4 linked regions of the Oryzias latipes genome follow. The protein of the gene in region 1 purifies or fractionates together with the protein of each later gene. This does not show direct contact. Links are inferred from orthologs where the notes say so. Each region holds a gene or a part of one and is shown in the gene's direction. Other genes may lie near its edges. The genes, in order: rack1, larp4, riok3 and helz.

Region 1 (5,498 bases):
TGGCGGGGCCCTCTCACCTATCATGCTGGGGATGTAGTGAAGAACAACACGTGCAGCTGTGATGTCACATGCCCTCTCTGGGCTGACCCTGAGCCTACATAGGCACTGCCATCTTGCCTTCAGGATGCCTATAGTCATCTCCACCCTGACCCGTGTTCTGCTGTGGGTCAGGTTGAACTGTGCCTGTTGTCGAGTCTGAGGATCAGGGTAGGGGGTCATCAGATATGGCAGACAAGGATACCCCCTGTCCCCCAGCAAGTAACCACTGAAATGTCCTATAATGGCAGTTAAAGTGTATAATTTACATAACATTAAATGCATGACATTGTATAAAAAATGAAGGTAAATTATACCCTGGTGAAATTTGGGGCACAATTATGACTCCCTAAAAATTCTGGCATCACGAACAGATCCTAGCTATTTGGCTTCTTTTGTTTCTGCTTTCTTTTGTTTTGTGTGCTTGAATTAAAAAAACAATTCCAAAAAGATGGATCATCATACAAACTGCCTTACACCTCATTCAAATATAGAATTCTTTGTCGTATATTTGTCTCCTCTGCTTCTGCATGATCAAAATAAAGTAACATCGCAGTAATGCAAAATTGATTATTTTCGAATAAAAAAAACAATCTGTAATATAATGAATGGAAGTACAGCACAGTAACAAAAAAAGCATTTGGCAGTCACTGATTCTTCAAGATGTCGCACTTTTAAAATGACAGGTCAGTAATGTTCATCATAGATACTATTCAACTTTGAAAGACGACAACATGTTAAAAAAATCTAGCTGATCACATTGTATGATTTTTAAAAATGTGTTTGTATAACCCTTGTGCTATCCTAGGCACTTTAACGTTGGGAGTTGGGTCATCTAGACCCACAGTTCACTGAACCTTTTTTCTTCAATGATTTGTGATCTTCACTGGTGTCCATGGATTACATGAAATCTTTCCACCTTTATCCACTTTTTTCATGGTAGGAATAACACGTCAATGTAAGGGTGGGGGTCATAGGATAGCACAAGGGTTAAACGGGCACAGAAAAAGAGTACGGTATTTGATCAGAAACAAAAGTTCATCTTGAAATGCTTTTTACGTTGCCACTCCTTTGCTGCCATAAGTGGATGTGGCTGTGGCTGTCCAAACACTTTGCTCTGACAACACAATGACAATCGAAGTAAAAAAAGAGTCAGAAATCTGAGATTATTTTAAACAGCACAGAGTAAAAAAAGTTTAAATTAGACCAATTAGATTAATTAATTAGGTTAAAATGGGGGGAGGGGGTTAGAATCCGAAGAAAAAAGCCAGAAGTCGTAAAAAAAAGTCTAGAACTCTGACTGGATAATTTAGAATTCTGAATAAAGTCAGAAATCTGACATTATTGAGATAGAAAAGGTTTGAATTCTGAGATAAAGTGAGAATTTCCCTTTCTCCGTGGTCCTAATCTTCTTCCGTACGTAATAAAGATAACTATTGGGATTTTTTTCCCCTTTCTTTAAGAGAACTTTTAATTGAAAAACAAGCTAAGAGGTGCATACATCAATGGCGTAAAGCAGACTACTGCGGTGTAGTCAAGTCCACCCGTCCCAGAATCCTTTGCGCGACCTTTCATAGTTTCTGCATCCGGGGTCGTATTTCCTTTTCCTCTGTGCCTAGATGCGATGAGGAGCTAGGTTCGGCTGAACCTGTCTAAAATCCGAATCCATCCTTGTAAAAGGCACCACCGAACCTCCCCAAAATGACTGAGCAGATGACAGTAAGGGGGACCCTGAAGGGGCATAGTGGATGGGTCACACAGATCGCCACTACACCTCAATACCCCGACATGATTCTGTCGGCGTCCCGAGGTGAGGCTTCGCCCCGCCGGCACCGCCAACATGGCTAACGTTAGCTCTCAGCTGCTTGCGTTCAAAATGCTGTAACTTTGAATTTGTTGCGTGAGTAAATGAAACCAGCTAGATTTAATAAACAACTACGGAGGTTTTTACCGTATATAAAGTGATGCAAAATGAACATTTGTAGACATGTTAGCAAAGAGGTAAGCTAGCTTCCTGTGACATAGCATAATATGTGGCAGCTGCTACCTCAAAAAAACTTAGTTGTAACTGAAGCACTTTTCTTATTGATGCACATTTTATTTTGAAAAAAAAAATGTATCTGAATAAATATAAAAGTGGTTTGAATGTGTTTATCTAAAGTATCTCTTGCTTTCAGACAAATCTATCATCATGTGGAAACTGACCCGTGATGAGACCAACTATGGCATCCCCCAGCGCTCCCTGAAGGGCCACTCTCACTTTGTAAGTGATGTTGTGATTTCCTCTGATGGACAGTTTGCCCTGTCAGGAGCCTGGGATGGAACCCTCCGCCTGTGGGACCTCACCACGTAAGTGAAGGGCAGGAAGCATCTCTTTAGTGGTTGGTGGCAGCATGATTTTAATCATTTATGTGAAGCAGCTGCCAGCCAGCCATTCATTTGTGGAGAAAATGGGATGTATTTTGAAAAGATGCCTAACACATATGTACTAAAGACTATCAAAAGAAGACGAGTACATTTACTGATTACATTCCATGATGCATATAAATACCTTAGATTTCAGATTAGTTTTGTTGTTTTGCTATTGAGAGATTTGGAAATCAATTTAGCATGTTTCTTTTTAAAATGAGGTTTACCTGCATCCAGTCCAGTCATTTCAGTTTTTTAAGCACCAGTTTACAGCTTTAGTTGTTTCTAGGAGCCTCACAAGTCATGAAACGTCCAGTCAACCTAAATTCATTGTTTTTAATTCATTCCACCTCACATCATCTTTAAATGCCAAATTCTCTCAACTTGTATGTTTAGTCATTTTGATGGAGATCTATCCTGTTTATATTTTATGGGATTGAACTGACTTGTTTTAATGTACTATTGTCTCTAGCCTTTACCTTTTTTTGTTTACATTTGATAGTTTCACAGCTTTCTAAAGGCAAACCTTTATTGATGTTCCTTTCTTGGTCCGTCTGTTGTGGAGTGTATTTCTTAGCTGTGGTGTGATGACAGGCGTCCTCTTCATGTTTTTTTTTTTTTTTATTGAAAGCCTCTTGCTAATAGGTAAATGTGCCATTTTTCAGAGGGCTCACCACCCGCCAATTTGTTGGACACACCAAGGATGTTTTGAGCGTGGCCTTCTCTGCTGATAACCGCCAGATCGTGTCTGGCTCTCGGGACAAGACCATCAAGCTGTGGAACACTCTCGGCGTTTGCAAGTACACCATTCAGGTGAGCTGCCGGATAATGCTGCCTCTTTGTAGATCTTATGACGTCCTTATCCGTGCTGCAGGATTTTATTGACTTTGAACTCCTGTGAAGAGTTGACATGACGGTCAGATCATGAAGTTAAGCAAATTAAGTCGCTAACCTTCAAAAAGAAAGGCTTTACTGATAATCTCGTGCTTGTAAATTTTGTAAATTTATTTTAAAAAATCACATAAGCATTGACCTGTAATCAAATAGATTCCTGTAAAACCGTATGTGTTTGATTTTGCAGGATGAAGGCCATACTGAGTGGGTGTCTTGTGTTCGCTTTTCTCCAAACAGCAGCAACCCCATTATTGTCTCCTGCGGCTGGGACAAGATGGTCAAGGTTTGTACTTCCGCTTCCCTTCATTTGCCATTAGATTGATTTAAAAACAATAGAAAAATATGCTCCATGATTTTAAAGAAGTTTGCATGTATTACCTGACCTGGTTTCTGATGAGAAGCTTTGTGGATGAGAGCACGTCTCCACAGTTTTATCTGGTCTTTTCATGTCAGTGTAAACTTGACGGTCACTGTCTGCTGCTGTTTCTATAGGTGTGGAACCTGGCGAACTGCAAGCTGAAGACTAACCACATCGGCCACACTGGCTACCTGAACACGGTGACCGTATCTCCTGACGGCTCCTTGTGTGCATCCGGTGGAAAGGTAAGCTGGTTCAGTTGGAGAACTCGACTCGTATACTTGTGAAGATTTTTAGTGATGGCACACAAAGGCCGACCTCCAGGTGTCAACTGTGATGGATAAATAACACATCATTCTGTTGGTAAACAATTGATGACAAAAGAGGCTGTTTCTGAGTGACACTGAGTCGTAAAGCCACGCTAAATGAAGATCCAGAACAGAGCTGCTGTGTGGTCATGGCTTATTTTCTTGTTAATGTTCTCTCAATCAGGACGGCCAGGCTATGCTTTGGGATCTGAACGAGGGCAAGCACCTGTACACCCTGGACAGCGGCGATGTCATCAATGCCCTTTGCTTCAGCCCCAACCGCTACTGGCTTTGTGCCGCCACTGGCCCTAGCATCAAGATCTGGGTGAGAGCTCCTACGTGATGATGTGGAACTACTGCTGAATGTGGTTTGATGGGCCTTGATGAAACTTGAAAATGCTAACTGTATTGCTTGATGATAACAGAGGCTGTTTCTGAGCTCCAGACTAATTAGCTTCAGTCATTTCTGTACATTGCCTGTTATTTTGAGTTGTTTTAGTCATACGGTAAATGTTTATTCTGTGTGCAGGATCTGGAAGGGAAAATCATTGTGGATGAGCTGAGACAGGAAGTGATCAGCACAAACAGCAAAGCCGAGCCCCCACAGTGCACCTCTCTGGCATGGTCTGCTGATGGACAGGTATTCAGCTCCTCTTGACATAAGTACAAGATGGGGCTGTTGCTAAAGCTAGTCTGTCCTTCTAACCCCCAGTGATTATACCCATTCACTATTAGCTCTGATTTTGACTGCTGACAGTCCTGCAAATATGAGGGGAAAGGACAAAAATCAAGGCTATAATCAATGTATTTAATGGTTTTTGTGATCAGTAACTTCCATCCTTCATTTGCTTGCAGACCCTGTTTGCTGGTTACACCGATAACCTGATCAGAGTGTGGCAGGTCACCATTGGAACCCGATAAGAATCCATCGCTGCATCGACTTTAAATAAAAAGACTGTTTGAAAAGTTGTGTGTTGGTCTTAACTTTAAATATTTTACTTTCACGCAGATTGAGTTTGTCATTTTAGAAGACTGCTCATAATCAAAGTTTTACTTATAATATTGATGCAAGATCATTTAAAAAGCTAGTTAACAAATTTAAGTTTGAAATGTTGAGGTCTACATTGAATCATGAATAAAGTTAATTGTAGGAGTGAAACATTTGAATTGATTTATATTCCTATGATCCATCCAGATTGATGCATGTGGCAAGTTAATCAAAACACCCCAGACCATTATAAAATCGTTTAGAAATGAAATTAATCAATACTGGAAACTGCCTTTTGGATTGAAGCATGGGTTGCAGCAAAAACTGATCATTCCACTCCAATGTGCAGAAATACTTAATTTTGCAAAGATGTGACCATCCAGTGTGGTAGAATGTTCTCTTTGGATTAGGTTGATGTGGAAAAACAGTGGGCTCAACTTTATGAAACTAAAATGTGAATGGATTTGACATTAATTCTTGTTTACTAGTTTTTTTGTACACAATT
Region 2 (5,633 bases), on another chromosome or scaffold:
GAGAAGCTCAAGGAGTGCTACAGGCATGGTATGGTCACATGTCAAATGCATCTGCTGCACGTCTTTAACCTGCAAAAGAGCAACAAGCATTACTCCAGATTTAGCAGAGCTCCACTGTCTACCAGCGCATTGTTTCAAATATAACGTTTTAATTTTAGAAGTTAACATGTGCAGGTCCCTCTTACTGAGATTCTTAGACCCCACAAACTTTCTGAAGATGTTTTTTTTTTTTGGTTGTCCTTCACACACATTTTAAAGTTAGAAGGAATTGAGGATTTCAAGCTGAAGGCTCCCAAACTCCAGAGTGCTCTTTATGTTTATATGTATTTATAGTTTTGCCTTTATCTTTATTAAATTTTCTTTTTTTCTCTATTATGGGGTTTGTGTTGTTCATCCCTTTGTGACTGGGGAAAAGTGCTGTATAAAATAACTTTTCTCACAGACGTGGTTATCATTTCATCTGATAGACATAATGGCTGGCACTGTTCCACTGTTGCTTTTTTTCTATTTTTACATAGCTATGTTGATGTGTGTGCAGCAATGTGACATCACTGCTCACACATTTGTTCTGCTAGGTCGTATCTTTGCCAACACACCAGACTCCGCCTGTGTTTTGGGCATGAGGAAGAGGGCTCTCAACTTCCAGCCTCTTGCTGACCTAAAAGCAGACACAGATTTTGAGTAAGATGAACAGCTTCAAATAATAGAATTCTCCAGGGAGAATTTCAGGTCAATTATGATTTTTCGTGCGCTCTTTTGTTTTTCTCTGCAGGCACCGGATCCCAAAGACACAGTGGTGGCTAAAAATCAGACCCATCATGAAGATCCTAGCCAAATATGACATCAAACTGGACACATCTGAACATGCTAACTTGGAGCACGTGGTCAACAAGACGGGTTCTTTGAAGAAATAGAGCCCATAGCTGAGCAAAACCTCTCCATATAAATGATAAAAGTATCTAAAACACTCTTTTCTTGTGCTGTCACTCTTTTCCATCCAGTAGAATTAGCAAAATAATTATCAAAAACAGGACCAACTGGCAGGAAAAAAGTAATGAAATATTAATTAGGAAAATACTGTTTGCTGTCAATAAATTTGGTTATTATGTGTGGTTATTTTTTATATTTTTTGCACACAAAAAATGAAAACAATTTCAAACAAGTCAACCGTGATCTCAGAAAATGTTCCAATTCATTTTGGGTAAGAAATTATTTTAAAAAAAAGGCCAAATAAGAACTAGGGTCTGCAGAAATTGTTAAGTGTTATCCATCATGTTTACCTGATATCTTGTTCTCTTTCATATAAAAAAAAACAGCCTGCAGATTTTTGCAGTACTGATCAAATTTTAGGATCCTTGTTACACACAAGAATTTAAATATTGTATATTTTTTAACAATCATAAACCCTTTGTATTAAGAAGGAACTTTTAAGACCATTGTTGTGCCCTTAAAACCGTGTAAATTGAGATCAATCTAAAATGTAAAGTTTTTTTTTCTGGTTTTTGTAATGTGAAGTTTGGTTGTAAAGTTGCAAACTGGCCTTTATTTTCTCTCTTAGGACATGTTTCAAAAAATCTGTTTCCCTGGAGAATTTCAGACACAACTGACACTTTGTGTAAGACTCCCCTTTTCACCCGTTAACAGGGAGAGGATTCTTCTGTGGATTTTGTAAACAGAAGTTAGGATGAGGAGATAAATTCTAAGCCATCAAAGATATAATCCCGTCTCCCCTCACAGCATTAAACCTTCACCTCAGTGTCGGTCAGAAGGAGAACAAGACAGACATTTTTAATAATAACCAACACTTGTAAGTCAAAAACTTCCAAAATTATTGCATCAAAAATGGCAGGTGAACTTCTTATTTATCTCCAATCATATTTGTTGCAGAGAATAAATATTTAAAACTATTTATTGTCAGTAGCTCAGGAATCCTTCAAATTGCGAATGTTTTTTTCCTCTATCTCTATATCATTTGTTCCTGATTACATCTGAGGTGTTTCATAAAAGTGGAACTGATTACATCACTAGCCTCCTTTCATTATTGCTTCATCTCATTTGAAACAAAAAGGAAAATTACAACAAAGCAAAAAAAACATGACTTTTGTGTTTCTTTTTTTTTTAAATAAAACTACTTTATTAATGTGATGTGGAATGGCCTTCAGAAAACACTTATGGTGATTATTTAAAAAAAAGACATAAGTAACATTTCGTTTTAAAATGAAATGAAAATATTATCTTAAATTATTGAAGCCTTCTTTGCTGATTTTTTGGCAGAGAGATAAAATCGTGAATTAAAAAAGACATCAATTAGGTAAAAACTACAGGAAGTGGAACCGGAAATGGAACCTCAAAGGTCACAGAGAATTCGCGGTGACACTCGGGACGTCGGCGGACGTGTGTGCCTGCGCTGAGGAAAGGTGCTTGTCCCCAGTGTCCGCTCTGGTCGCCCGGTTAGGAATGCGCCTCACGCAGCCGGTGTGCAGTATAATGCTCGGTGAAACGCAAGCGGTGTCTGTTATCTGAGTAGAGACATGGTTTGGCATCGCTTAGAGCATTAGTATCTCGTTGAGCACTTGATTCATTGAGCTAACTGTCGTTAGCGCGTCGTTAGTTCATAGCGCGCTAGGTCGCTAGGCGGCTAGCTAGCGAGGAAGCTAGGTAAGTGTGCTGCCGACCGATCCCACCGAGTAGTAGACAAGCCAACTGACTGCTGAACACAGCCGGTGTTTGAAAGAGGTGGTGGCAGGCGGGGTTGGGAGAACACGACGGGGTGGAAGTGAGTGAGGAGCGGCTGATGAGTTCAGACCAGAGCGGAGAGCCGCCGCTGCTGCAGGAGGAGGCTGATCCCGGACCGAAGACCGGTGCGAAGGACGAGGCTCCGTTGGGGAGCGAGGGAGGGACAGGCGGCATGGTAAGTGAGGCCTTATGTTGCTAGCTAGTTAGCTAGCTAAGTGACTTATGCTCAGCGAATACCTGTTTGCGCAGTTCAACCCCCTCTGCGGATGAGTGAAATTTATTAGGCAGCAACAAAACTCAAACGAAAAAAAACTGTTGATTTATAGCTTTCAGCTTGACCATGGTTTTCTGAGGTTTTGCGTTATCGCACAGTGACTAAGCTTAATCACATGTTGTTTGTGTTATGACAACAGTCCAAAAAGGCTAACCACGGTGGCACTTAACGCTAGCAGCCTGTTTAAGCAGGTATGTTTGCCCACTGGTCGTTAGCATTGGCTCTGCCCCTGCTAGCCAGCACGTTCATTAGTTTGCTGAGTAATCATTAGCTTGAATAGATAAGCTTCGTTACAGCTGTAGAATAATTTATGTGCCTCCGTATAGTGAGGGTCATGACACGTTTTCAACCGCTTTCATTTACTGGGGCCTTCTTTTTACCAGTCGAATGAATGATGTGGAACTACTGTAAGGTTATGTTAGCTAATCTCGACGACAGCCAACTTCGCAGGCGCATGCGTTGCAAATATCTGGCCTGCCCTGTGCCTTGCAAAGCAGTCAGCTGACACTACTTGGTTCATCACGGCCTGCTGGACTCATGCGTGCTTTGCTGTCATGTGTCAAATTACACGGCGAATACACATGTTCATGCTTATATGAATGACTCTGAAGCCCATCAGCTGGATGCATCACTTCCTGCTGGCGGGTCCTTGGAAGTAACTTGAGGCTGATAGAAGCTGTTTAGTTTTGGACGGTTTCAGCGTGAGGGCGCTGGGTCATTGGCAGGTGGCAGTGACATTGTCAAAATAGGAAGCTGCTAAATGTGACAGTTACTGGCGTTTCAAGGTTACTGGGAAACAGTCAACCATTACTCATTAGGTCAAAAATGGCTATAACCCAAAGTAATAATAATAATTTGATTCTTCCATTTTAAAAGGGCGAAAAAATAATAGTCGGCAATTGTGGAAAATAATAAAATGCTGAGTATTTATATTTACATGGTTTAAAATGGTGTACAAACTATTCATCTAAGATGAATAGTTGAATGGTTTGAATAGTTAATAGTTTGTAAGTCGACCCACTTTAACTGGTTGTTTGTGTTGTAGGCTGCAATGGTCAAAAATAATAGTCTTGCATGATTTCTTTTTGCATTTTAAGTATTTCTTTGCAACTTAAAATACTTTTTGTCCTCCAAATGTCTATTTTTTCACTTTGCTGCTTTTTAAAGTCCTATTTTATTCATAAGCCTTTTTTTCTGAGTTCCCTAAAAATAAAAGAAAAAGCAGAAAGAAAATCTCCAGAGTATAAATAACAGCAGCCTAGAAACGTAAAGTAATAATAAAGAAAATAAATCATATATGTTGCACTTTATTAAACAATATGGGAAGAAGATGAAGGTTACATTCCATCTCGAAAGTCAAATCATAACAGAGTAGATAACAATAATAGACTGCATTTATGCAAGCTGTACTATCTTGGTACATTATTGCTTATTTAGCTTCATGAAACATGGGAGGAAACCAGTATGTTGGTGCAACATATAAACAATTATTAAGGCAACCATAAACTCTTTTACATTCCTCCTCTTTGTCACTTCGGAACAACACCGCCAAGCCCGGCATAAGACTAAGCAGTGCTTCTTGTTCTATATTGCTGTCAGCAGTAAATACGGATGCACGCACCTACAGTGCCCTCTAGCTGTTGTTGTTTTCTTTTTTTTTTCCAAGTTGCACCAGAATATAAAAGTTGTTTGTGTATAAGTCACAAACCTGGCCAAAGTATACAACTACAACAAAATGTGACTTGTACTCCAAAAACTATGGTACCTTGCACAACTTTACCATACATTATTTATACACCCATACATTCTATATGTAAAGCCACTAAAAATATATTCGGTTCAGATCATATGTGTGTGCTGCAATATCATCTGTGACCTATTTTAGGTTAGAATTCATTGCAGATTTGTGACTAGTTAGCACAATATGGTACGTTGGATGGATTGTACCTTTTACAATTCTTAATTCTAAAAGGGATTTAAAGTTTAGGTTTTAAAATAAACATATGTGGTTTTTGCTTTATTTTAAAAAGTTAAAATGCTGCCATCTGGCTTCATATGTCTGTTTTTTTCTCTTTCTTTTATCTGGTATTATAAAGCCAGTGCTTTTCTGTCAACAGACATGATAAAGCAAAAGCCAAGCATGCAGAAAAGTTGTTGCATCTCATATTTTCATCCTAAAAGTGTTATTTCAAATTATTAATATCATTCACTTTCTGCATAGCATCATTGTTAAAATTCTCAGTTCCTGGTTCTTGAAATTTGTTGAATGAGGAAGAAATGTTTTTTTTGTCTTAGAACTGATCCACCTTAGACCCAAATGAAACTTGAAACCTTCTCCCAAATGATTGCTGCACCTTTTCAGACTGTTTGTGTTTTTATCAAACTGCTTTTTCATCCTGGAATGTGAGCGTCTCTGTGCTATCAGCACAGATAGGAGTTGTTTCTTGTCTGATGCTGTGTTTTTTTTTTTTCTTTTGTTGAAGGTCACCTCGAAGGGTGCCGGTTTGAACCCAAATGCCAAAGTTTGGCAGGAGATGCCTGTGCCCCCCAGTGAGGCTGTTAACAGTGGCCCAGATTGGCCCACTTCTGATATTAATGAGGGTGAGAAATCTTTTCCGTCAAC
Region 3 (5,497 bases), on another chromosome or scaffold:
CACAGCCGCAGGACGCATGAAATGATGTAATAGTACTTTTGTGGAAGTACTACAGTTAAGGGGATTAAGTAAACTGTTTAATGCATGGAAACATGAAGTCCTGCATGAACCCAAACCAAAACTGACAGCTAAAGCAGTGACACTTACTTTATTTTGGTGAATCTTTGCATGCCTGGCTTTAATTTAGACTTCTATTATTAGAACTGTGGCTGAAACTGGCAGGACATCAGAGAATAAAACCCACCAAACATCCTGAAAGTGAGATTCTGCAGCTATGCTGTTGGGACGACAGACCAGCAGCAGGGAGTTGCAGACATAAAAACAAACACTGCAGCCGTCTGTGGTTGTCATGTCAACAGTTTTTCTGGTTCAGGTGAGCTGTTTGGCCGGTCCGGCTACGGCAGCTGTTGTGTCTTTGCTCTCAGTCTGAAGGAGTCGTGAACACAATTCCTTCAGTCAACATTCCTGTCGGGCGTGACCCATGAAAAGAAAAGACAGAGGACAGGAAGATGAGGGACGGCAGCCTGCTCGCGTCCCCCAGACACACGGCCTTCATTCCTCTCCTTTCAGCCGTCCTGCATCTTCTCATTTCATGCTCAGATCTGCAGAGAACGCTCTTCCCCCCTGTGTGATCTGCATGTGGACGTCTCACACCAGTTTCACTGCTCACAGGAACCTCTTCATCCCGATTTACTTTCGGGGGGCTTGTCTCTGTGAACCCGTGGAACCCTGAGAACCTTATTCCAGAGTCGGGTGGACCCCCTGCTTTCACAGCCGTCAGGGGAGTCTGGCACAGGACGTCCCACCTGGAGAATGTCAGTGTTTTGTTTCTTGTCTCTTTGTCCCCGGCCTGCACAGGGTCACTTCTCCTCAGTCGCCATCCTTCACTTCAACAGGCGTTCCTCTGTCATGGTGTAGATGTCAATGTGGCGACATGTCGGCAGTGTAGGACGGTCAGCGGTTTGTCTTCAGTTCTCTCGTGTTCTTAGGTGTTCCTGAGCGAGGCTCAGTCTTTGATCCACAAGCAAACAAAGTCCTTCACAAGGTTAAAACTGAAATCAGTCATTTCACGGTTGTGGTTAGAAACTTTTGGGGCTTAGAAACCAGGTTTTTTCTTTATGTAATTATCATTTATTTTCCTTTTCGACTTTCCATCTTCACAGTTTGAGTTGTCATTTTTTTCTCTATTTCTCTGTAAATGTACTTTGCCATAATGTCAGTACCAGTATTTTTTATTTTTATTTATTCCCTTTCTGCTAACTGCAGTCACATAGTCCTACTTTACTTTTATTGTTCAGTTGTAGAGTATCTTTGAATTTCCTGAAATCTAAATCGTGTCAGACAAATAGTAAGTTCTCTGGAGTTTAACCCTTGTGCTATCCTGGTCAATTTATCATTGGGAGTTGGGTCATCTTGACCCACTAGACAGTGCTCTGAACCTTTTTTCTTCAATGATTTGTGATCTTCACTGGTGTCCATGGATTACATGAAATCTTTCTACCTTTATCCACCTTTGTCATGGTAGGGAGAACACGTCAATGGAAGGGTGGGGTCATCTAAGATAGCACAAGGGTTATAGATTAGGAGAAATTCTTAGAAAGAACATTAACATTTGCATTTTTATTTGAAGTTGTTAACGATTCTATTTTTCTTTATTGTCACTTTATATTTTGAGGATTAACTTTGAAAAGACCTGATTGTTGCAGGTCTGATTAAAAATAAGAGCTTGAATGAATTATGTAGCTAGTCTTTCTGTCAAACTGCTTCTATTTTTGCTTTAAATGGCTATTTTCCCCTCTGATTATATTTTTATGAATAAATTCATATTTGATGGTTTAAAGTCATCTGAGTGTAAACTGTGAATTATGGTTGTGAAACAAATATGAACTGTTATGCATCATATATCCATGATTATATGATCAGTAATAACTATTAACGTTTCAAACAAGTATGTTTAAAATTTACTGAACCAGAATAGTGCATTATTAAAACTTATATACTTTCTATACTTACATACTTTTATGCTCAGTGATTAGTATTGGTACACTCTACATTGGAGCTTAAAGTACTTCCTGTAAAACATTACTTTAGTTAAAACATTCAAAGAATTCTGTTTTTGTGAAATCAACTTGTCCACCTGACGTAATTTTTTAAAACGATTAAATAGTATTAGTTAAAAAGTAAATACATAAATAAAAGGTAAAAGCGGGTCCGTCCATTTTTTATTTTATTATGAAAGCAACGTCACTGGAATTCATGACGTATTTCCTGTCGTTCAAAGGTCACTTCCCTGTGAAGCTCTTCTCCAAATAGTCAGGTTCTTTTTTAACTTCACCTTATTTCAGTGCCAGTGTGTCACATTTCCTCATTTACTCTTTATTAAGAATCGATTTTAAGCCGAGACTTTATCTTTGTGTCACGTGACCTTGTTGCGGTTTCTCTGGAACAAATTGTTCTGAATTATTTTTATTTCACGTGTGAACTTGCTTACGTTAGCTCTTCTTGTTCAGCTAGCCGCCATTCATTCTCTCCAGATAAAGTGTAACATTCTGTCTACTCATCATGGATCAAGCAGCGCTCGCGACAGGAACACCAAAGGTAAGAGGCGCGCGCCCGGTTCGGCTCGTTTGTGGGGCGCGAGGCGGCCGGGAATTCTGCTGGCGTGAGCCAACATGGCTGTTCGGTTCCTTTTTAGTGAGCAACAGCTGAGCGCGTGACCCGGACAGCCCGGCCGGGGCTAATGCCGGCTAAAGCTAAAGGCTGCGCTGCGCGCGGACGCGCGTTCACGTCCCCGATAAAAGACAAAACCCGAAAGAAAAAAAAGAAAAAATATATATAAATCTGGTTTAAAACGGCAACAAAAAAGGCTAAAGTAGCTGGAAATACAAGTGTAAATGATTAAAATCCAATGAGATTTTTAAAAAGTGAGTGAAAAGAGCAAGTTTGAACTTTTCCTGGGTTGATTGAACATAGAAGTGAGATATATGTTAAGAAAATATGTCTTAAAAATGACATAAGCTTTTTGATTTTAGCTCAAAACGGCATCCTCATAATTCAAAGATCACTGGGGAGACGAAAGATGATCGGAGGAGACTTAAACATCAACATGACATGTCTTTAAGTCTTTTAAACAATCTTAAACTGTTATTTTAGACGGACAAATAGATCAAATCTTGTGTTCGTGAAACTCTTTTTGTTGTAAATTCTTATTTTAAGGCCAAGGCTGAAGAGAAATGCCGGGAAACTATCAGCTAATATTGATATTAGACAGAAGGTGGATCATTTGTGTTTAATCATTGCTTGTTTTTCCCAGCCGGCCTCTGAACGTGACGCGTCGTGGTTAAAGTCAAAGGTCTCTCTCTGTGTGTAAAGATAGTGTCGTGACTCACCATGAGGTCACCGGATGGAGCCGGCTGATTGAGCCATCATGCCTGAACGTGTTCCCCCTCTGCTGCTGTTTCATCAGCACCGTTTGACCCGAAATGTCCCCAAATAAAGGTTCCTTGTGTTTTCTGATCTGAAACGACTGTTGCCGATAGAAAAGCCCTCAAATGTTTAGTTTGTTCCCCAGCAGGAACAGAAACCCACTCAGAAGAAGCCATGAGAACCTCTGAATTGTCTGGTGTTGTGTTTAGGGCCCGTGGGGTTCTGTGGCGCCGGCCCCTCCGGCCTGTTGTCTGACTGAGGTGATGAGCGAGCAGCTGGCCCGGCAGCTGGACGAAGAGAACAACGTCCTGCCTTCGCTCTCAGAGTGAGCCGTCTTCCTCGTTTATCATATCTCCTGTTGGTTCTGGATGTTTGACCCAAAGTTCTGCTGCCTTCGGGTTCGGCTCGCAGCCCTGCAGCTGATCTGCCGTCGGAGGACGCCCCCGACACCGACAGTGACCTGATGCTGGCCCAGATGCTGCAGCTGCAGTTCGACCGCGAGTTTGACGATCAGCTGCGCCGCGAGGAGAGGAAGTTCAACGGAGACAGCAAAGGTCGGCGGTAGACGGCCTCTGCTTCATCACACCTGTGCTCTCCACTGCCCCCTCCTGGAGATCCGGAGCGCTGATGTTTGACCTTTCTTCTGTGTAGTGTCCATCTCCTTTGAAAATTACCGCATGGTCCATCCTTATGAGGACAGCGACAGCTCGGAGGACGAGGTGGACTGGCAGGACACCAGACACGATCCCTACAAAGCTGGTAAACCCCCCCCCATGCCTCGTCCGGCGTCCTGGAGGATCATTTCTGGGTTCACAAACTTTCCTCTTTTGTTTTTGTATGTTTAGAGAAGCCACAGGCCACGCCCAGGAAGGGCTTCACAGGGAAGGGGAAGAACATCACCACCAAACACGACGAGGAGACCTGCGGGCGCAAAAACACGGCGCGCATGGACAACGTATGACCTCGGCGCTTTCTCTGCTCTCCATCAGAAACCGCAGACGTAGATGAGGCACAGATCTGCTTTAGCCTAACGACTGCAGCGACCCTGAACGCATCTGCAAACAAATGCCAACATACTCAACCTCAGGAGACACTAAAACGCCTTTAGAGTTTATAGTCAACCCTGGTCCCACAGCAACAACACTGATTGGACAGAATAGGATTAGTGCTGCAAGTGACATTGCAGCTGTTACCCGCCACCATTACCCCCTTTTGACCTGAACGGCTGCTACAGAGATGCTCGAAGAGTTAGAGGCAATAGATGGAAATTCCCTGGAGAGCTTTCAGTTTTTGCCACAAAATGGAAGTTCTGTTGTCATCCCATAATAATTTCACAGCTTCATTTGGATATCCACTACACGCGTGTGCTTTAGTTTCAGTGGTGCATTTTGAACCATTTCTGTAGCCCCAAAAGAGACTTTGGCCTCATTTATTGAGTTGACTGTTTTCCGCGCTGTGATGTCATCAGGGCGTTGTTCACTTTGCTTAAGGATTACCAGGTGTCTAGGGGTACCAGTGCTAAGGGGTACCAGTGCCTAGGGGTACCGGTGTCTAGGGGTACCAGGTGTCTAGTGGTACCAGTGCTACAGGTTACCAGGTGTTTTGGGGTACCAGGTGTCTAGGGGTACCAAGCGCCTAGGGGTACCGGGTGTCTAGGGGTACCAGTGCTTAGGGGTACCAGTGCTTAGGGGTACCAGTGCTTAGGGGTACAGGTGTTTAGGGATACCAGGTGTCTAGGGGCACCAGGTGCGTTCAGATGTGGGTGCGTTTTTGATGACATGGTGTGGGCAAAATTTTCGCTCAAAGACGTAGAAAAATGAGACCAGCGAAGACAGTCTAGTCTTGGCGTTCCAGAAAAGAAAAATTGTTCCTCTGACGTTACAATCGGTGTTTGGTCTGTCTTCTGAGGAAGCGGTTCTGTTGGTTCTGCTCTGCAGTTCGCCCCAGAGGTCCTGGTGGGAGACGGGCTGGGGATGGACCTGAAGCTGTCCAACCAGGTGTTCAACTCCCTGAAGCAGCACTGCTACAGTGAGCAGCGCCGCAGCGCCCGGCTGCACGAGAAGAAGGAGCA
Region 4 (5,639 bases), on another chromosome or scaffold:
TGTGTTTTCTTATTCAGAGGATGGGGAGAAGAGGTGGAAAGACCTGAAGAACAGAGTTGTGGAGCATGTAAGTCCTAAAGGCAAATAGAAAGAAACTGTGGAAGAGCAATGAAAAACTGCCCTCATATGTGCATGCCTGTAACGGTTTGTGGTCTGTCCCCAGAACATCCGAATAATGGCTAAATATTACACAAGAATCACAATGAAGAGGATGGCTAATCTTCTCGACCTTTCCATCGATGTAAGCAAGTTTTAAAGTCTGCGCTAAAACCACAGAAACGGATTTTATTCAGGGTTTAACTTGAATAAAAAAATGAAAAAAAGGATTTTAACCAAATCTGTTTGTTCTTAAATACTTGAACAGGAATCAGAGGAGTTCCTTTCCAGCCTGGTGGTAAACAAAACCATCTATGCCAAGGTGGATCGACTCGCTGGCATCATCAACTTTCAGAGACCCAAAGACCCCAATGATCTGCTCAACGATTGGTCACACAAACTCAACTCTCTCATGTCTTTGGTTAACAAAACCACACACCTTATTGCCAAGGAAGAGATGATCCACAACTTGCAGTGATACAACAACGTTCTTTGTTTTCTATTTTTGATTCTGCTGGGCACCCGTACTTTTGAACACGCAGCAAACTGAGCAATGTTTGACTGCAGCTCAACTGGAGTCTCAGAATTGAGGAAAAATAAGACACATCCTTTCAATAGTGTTTTGTTTTTACTGTGTAGTAACGCAAACAAATCTTTCTGGTTTTCATTTAACCCAATGACCTTTGCAACCATTTGATGGAAAATTACATCCTCGTTTTTTTTTTTCAATTGCTTTATGAAAACGTGGTTCAGCCTGTTGTTTTCATTGTGTACTGTACTTAGCAAGGCAAACAATAAACTTGTTTGGTGAACTTGTTTTAGCTTCAATGTTAATGACAATAAACTTGAATTGTCTTCACATATCTCAGTGTAATCTAAACACAGTGACATGTATAGACTGTCTGTGGTGGTGATCACAGCCTACAGGAAAAGCATTCAGGGTCCAACCTGGAGCAACAGTTACTTTACACATGTTCTGCAGCCATTTCTATGAGCACAGAACCCCTAAAAACATTGTTCTCAATTGGAAATGAAACTATTTTTGCGAGGAATAATGTGCTTCTTTAAACCTTGTGCTATTTTGTGGGGTCCCAACGTTGCAAGTGGGGTCATCTGGACCCCACAAGATGGCACAAGGGCTAAAGTTAAAACTTAGTTTTCTTTATTAAAAAGTCAGTTCATACAATCCAGCCGTTCCTCTTCAGTTTCACAAATTGAGCAGCATTTTTATGAAAAAATCATTTCACAGTTTGAGGCTGATAAAAAGGTCAAAGTAGGTCAATGTATGCTGATATCTGAATTGGTTTCTCTGTATGCAGAATCAAAGGGCAAGGAATTCATAAATGAGCGTACGCCCTTGTGGATTTTATTTTCCTTAACAAAAGCTAAACTTGTGCCGCACTTGCATCCCAAAGTCAAAAATGTTTCTGATTAAAAAAAAAGATGCAATGTGGAAACGTGTCTCCTCCCTAAAATCCTCTCACCAATGCTGTCTGCATGTTTTGCATATTGCATCATGAGTAAAAGCTGCAGACAAACTGTTTTAGTGCCATGTGGTGTACACTCAGAGGCTATAGCAGAAATGCTCATGTGACAAATAAGGAGGTTTTTTTTGCTGTTAGCACGAACTTCCTTAGGGAAGTATAAACATTGCAGCAAACGCTCTTATATAATTGACGCTTTTGAAGGCTTCAGCCAGAACTGATTCCAATAGATTAAAAGGCGTTTATTTTACATGCTGCTTTATCTGTTTTTCATATTTCTTTACTCTATAGAGAACACAGTGCAAAGTTACGCACGCATGCACGCGCGCGCTCTCGCGCAGTCCTCTCAACCTTCAGCTCAGTACATCCCACTATGCTTTGCGATGGACTGACAAGTGGATCCAAGATGGCGTAGAAAGTAAAGCTAGGTAAGTGTTGACTTCCCATTTTTAGTCCTTTTAAATGTCTCTTAACGTCGCAGAGGCACCGACAAGAATCCCCTTCAGGCATCACCAAGACGACAGAGAATTATTCAAGTCCATGCATTCACTCCAACAATGTGTCGTAAAAATAATATGCACATAAACAGCGAGCCATAATGTCAGGCCCCAAACCGTTTTGTTTCGGCGAACCTAGCTAGCTAGCTCGCTAACAAGAGCAAACTAGCCAGCTATTCTTGTGATCTTTGCCAGATATTTTTGAGCCAAGAAAGGTCGTGTTTCTTGGAAAGCTTTTTACTCTTAGTCTCTCTGGTAGCAACATCGATTGTTTAGCCCAAGCGAGTAGATTAAGTGAGCTCCGACTGTGCGTGTGAAATCATTTTTAACAGCTTTACGCTGCCGTCATCGGCTTGATTTGCAGCAGGAGTCATGGGCAAGTTTTCCAGCCAAACAAAAAAACAGAGGAAAACACGCCATTACAGCAGAGGGATATTAGAAGTGCATGTTAGTTTGAATGTCTGCTCGTTGTTGCTGAAAAAAATGTGCGCACGTTTCGATTGTTTTTTTCTTTCTTCTTCTTTTCTTCGTTAATTTGCTGCTTCGGATGCTGCCAACAAAAATAACGTTACAGTCAGGATGAAAGCACAACTGTATTCCTGTTATCAAGCCATCCCATCCAAACACTTTAGTGACTTCTAATCGCTTATGTTCTATTCAACCATACAAAAAGAAAAAAAAAAGTTAGTCGTCCAGTGCATCCCGCCAGATAACTTTATTATTGCTATTACGTCAGATTCTAGATTTTGAAGTTTTAACACATAACATCACATACAGGCGTAATCATACTTTTACTATATTTGCTATAGTTGATTAACAATATTTTTATTTTATGTTTTACTCTTTTTGTTAATAGTAACGTTATAATTAGGATTGGGTGATGTGCAAAAATGGACATTCTGGGGATAACATTGGGCTTTTATTTTGTAGGCCCCTCATGTTGCTGCTGCATTTTGATGGAATGACTGTTGCTGAATGTAAACCTCTTCAGTTTTAGGGATTTTCTTTTGTTGTCCTAATTTTTTTTATTTCGATCGCTCATATGTCCATTTTTAAGGGCAAAATTTGTAAATGCATTTGTCAGTATACTGTGACCTGCTGCGAGTATAAAAATGATGGACCTGGACTTTTGTTGGAAAAAAAACTATTATTTTTTGTTTAGTTCAACTTTATACTCATGTGCTTATAGTCCAGGTTTGTTGGACTGTATGCTATTTTGCAGAGTCTAGAGATTTTCCAGTTTCCCTATAAAATAATTCAAAATAATTACAAATTACTTTAAAAAATTTAAAATGGGGGCAAGCTTTCTGAAAGCTTTTTGTTTATCACATTTATTTAGTTTTTGTCGTGTAACTCAGCAAATTTGAGCAAGAAGAAACTAATGTCAACAGTGTCTGATAATTGTTTTTCTTTTGAGTAGTTCGACTTTGAAAAATGTATGGAATTTAGGACACGGCTCATGCGTGTAATTACCATGTGATAGTGGCTGAGCAGTTTTGAGTTTACAGGCCAAAAATATTTAAAGTTGGGAGGTGTGATGGGTCTAATCTGAATATCCTAATTTTTCATAGGCAGCTACATTTTTGCCAGATTCCCTTATAAATTAAGTCATGTGGCAGGATTTTTAGAGGTGCTTTTTTTTTTTAACTTTTTTAACTTTTTCAGTATCCTAATTAAGGAAAATGTTTATGTTCCTGCTAAGTGTCTGACCACATAGAAGATTGTCTAAAATCAACTATTACTACTGCTATTGGAAAGACAGACCTACTTTAAAGGAATTAAAAAAAAACCTGTTATATTTACAACACACATTTCGATGCATGTGTTTATTTCAATTTGATTTCAACCACATTGATTATTAGGTGCTAAATAGGCATAAAATCCACATTAAAATGTTAAGAATTTCTTGAATTTGAGCAAAATGTCACTGAAGAAAGATATTGTTGAACCAGCAATTTTTTTTTTGCCATACTTGTAAATGAAACTGGCTTGTCATGTTTATTAGTTCTCACTTTTCTTTTCTTTTTCAATGAGATCACCTGATATGTTCAGTAAAATGCATTCTTGCTGTGTAAGACCACCGTCACCTATCCCAAAATGCCACGGTGTGGCGGCCTAAATGCAAGTTTTTTAGCAAATTCTGCAGGTGGCCGCAGTTGTAATTGTGAGGCGGCTGTCACATTATTACACGGCCGCCAGGGGAGGTTTTAAGGAAAAACAGAAATATTTGACGACGACCGGACAACTTTTTTTGTGACACTGGTCAGTGGCCGCCAGGGCACATTGAAGGTCGCACGATGGTAGTTCAGTGACAGACGGGCGGCGGAAAGGCAGCATTGCGATCATTTGACTGATGGGAGGGTCTTCAGGTTCCCCCAAATCGTCTGAGGATTGGCCGATTACAGACTGCCACTCCCCTGCTACCGTGCTGCCATTCCACTGCCACCATCCGATTGATAGACAGTGTACGGTTGCAGCCCGGGCAGTACAGATGGGCCAGGGGCCTGGCGATGACCACATGTCAATCTGGCGATCTCACCCACCGTGGGTCCTGCAAATTCTAGGGAAACGGCATTGATGATGCATTGATGAAGACTCCTGCTGCGGTTGGATCCTCGTTTTCTTGGGCCCTGGGGGATTGCGCTTGCTGGGTTTCTTGGGAGGCTTGTTGTACAAAAATCTGTAAATTGAGGATTATGTGTGCTCAAAATCTGAGTTACGAATGACCAAGGGTACAGAATGACCCGATTGTTTTTAGATAACTGCGGGCTACCGGGTGGCTGGCAGCTGCTGGCACTCGATATGGATGGCCGCCGTCCGGAGACATTTACACGTCAATCAGAGCTGTTGCCGGCTGGCACCGCCCTGTGGTTGCCCAGCTGTCGCCCAATTACGTAAAGATGTCATCCCTGCCTGCCTGACTAACGCCTGACAGCCGCTGTCTACATTCATGACTATGCCAACAAATTTTTAAAAAATCAGGCGGCGGCAAGAAATCTTAAAGATTCTGCCAATGCCTTCCCATCGCATGGTGGCAATTGTGTTCGTAACCGCAAAATAATTTGCCGAAAACTTGCCTAATGCATTAACAATAGGGGGGGGGGGGGGGGGGGGGGTCAACATTTCTAACTCTTAATGTTTTATATGTCCTTATCTATGTATGTAAATGTGTGGACCCCCCCCCCCCCCCCCCCCCCCCCAACTGTAGCTGGGATAGGCTCCAGCAACACAGTGACTCCAAGAGGGCCTAAAGGGATTAAGCAGGTTTAGAGAATGGATGAATGGATTTTTTTCATGATTTTATTTAATTTTTATTGCAGAACCTTATTTATAAGGCTCTCTTATTACTGCTATCAGTTAACATTTTTACCACAATTTTCTCTATAATAAATAGTTTACACAAGCATTTGAAAAGTGAAGATGATTTAGAAAGAAAGTATCCCCAGTACATAAGAATAATTATTTGTCGTCTTGTATTTCTTTGGATTGGCAAAGACAGCAGCTCAATATTCACAAACGCTGTCAGATGGTCCACAGCTGCTGTTAAAAAATGTGGCTGGTT

The links.
Region 2: the proteins of rack1 (region 1) and larp4 purify together in Homo sapiens (affinity purification with mass spectrometry; 3 studies listed by BioGRID and IntAct, counting the BioPlex papers as one, with this or other methods). This does not show direct contact. The link is inferred for Oryzias latipes from reciprocal best matches to the Homo sapiens genes RACK1 and LARP4.
Region 3: the proteins of rack1 (region 1) and riok3 purify together in Homo sapiens (affinity purification with mass spectrometry; 3 studies listed by BioGRID and IntAct, counting the BioPlex papers as one, with this or other methods). This does not show direct contact. The link is inferred for Oryzias latipes from reciprocal best matches to the Homo sapiens genes RACK1 and RIOK3.
Region 4: the proteins of rack1 (region 1) and helz purify together in Homo sapiens (affinity purification with mass spectrometry; 3 studies listed by BioGRID and IntAct, counting the BioPlex papers as one, with this or other methods). This does not show direct contact. The link is inferred for Oryzias latipes from reciprocal best matches to the Homo sapiens genes RACK1 and HELZ.

What each region holds. Positions count from the first base shown.
Region 1 is NC_019868.2:17,071,797-17,077,294, forward strand, and holds rack1 (receptor of activated protein C kinase 1), read left to right. Parts: upstream 1-1,620; 5' UTR 1,621-1,737; coding exon 1,738-1,846; intron 1,847-2,213; coding exon 2,214-2,385; intron 2,386-3,110; coding exon 3,111-3,258; intron 3,259-3,526; coding exon 3,527-3,622; intron 3,623-3,831; coding exon 3,832-3,942; intron 3,943-4,189; coding exon 4,190-4,330; intron 4,331-4,534; coding exon 4,535-4,645; intron 4,646-4,860; coding exon 4,861-4,926; 3' UTR 4,927-4,971; downstream 4,972-5,498. UniProt on the Homo sapiens protein: Scaffolding protein involved in the recruitment, assembly and/or regulation of a variety of signaling molecules. Interacts with a wide variety of proteins and plays a role in many cellular processes.
Region 2 is NC_019865.2:11,281,872-11,287,504, forward strand, and holds the start of larp4 (la-related protein 4), read left to right. Parts: upstream 1-2,370; 5' UTR 2,371-2,794; coding exon 2,795-2,911; intron 2,912-5,493; coding exon 5,494-5,611; intron 5,612-5,633. Other genes in the region: ATP-dependent 6-phosphofructokinase, muscle type, read left to right, coding at 1-28, 576-681, 773-914. UniProt on the Homo sapiens protein: RNA binding protein that binds to the poly-A tract of mRNA molecules. Associates with the 40S ribosomal subunit and with polysomes. Plays a role in the regulation of mRNA translation.
Region 3 is NC_019878.2:4,105,103-4,110,599, reverse strand, and holds the start of riok3 (serine/threonine-protein kinase RIO3), read left to right. Parts: upstream 1-2,266; 5' UTR 2,267-2,562; coding exon 2,563-2,598; intron 2,599-3,635; coding exon 3,636-3,751; intron 3,752-3,837; coding exon 3,838-3,980; intron 3,981-4,077; coding exon 4,078-4,185; intron 4,186-4,271; coding exon 4,272-4,381; intron 4,382-5,363; coding exon 5,364-5,497.
Region 4 is NC_019859.2:31,300,854-31,306,492, reverse strand, and holds the start of helz (probable helicase with zinc finger domain), read left to right. Parts: upstream 1-1,880; 5' UTR 1,881-2,008; intron 2,009-5,639. Other genes in the region: psmd12 (26S proteasome non-ATPase regulatory subunit 12), read left to right, coding at 1-67, 164-241, 365-574. UniProt on the Homo sapiens protein: May act as a helicase that plays a role in RNA metabolism in multiple tissues and organs within the developing embryo.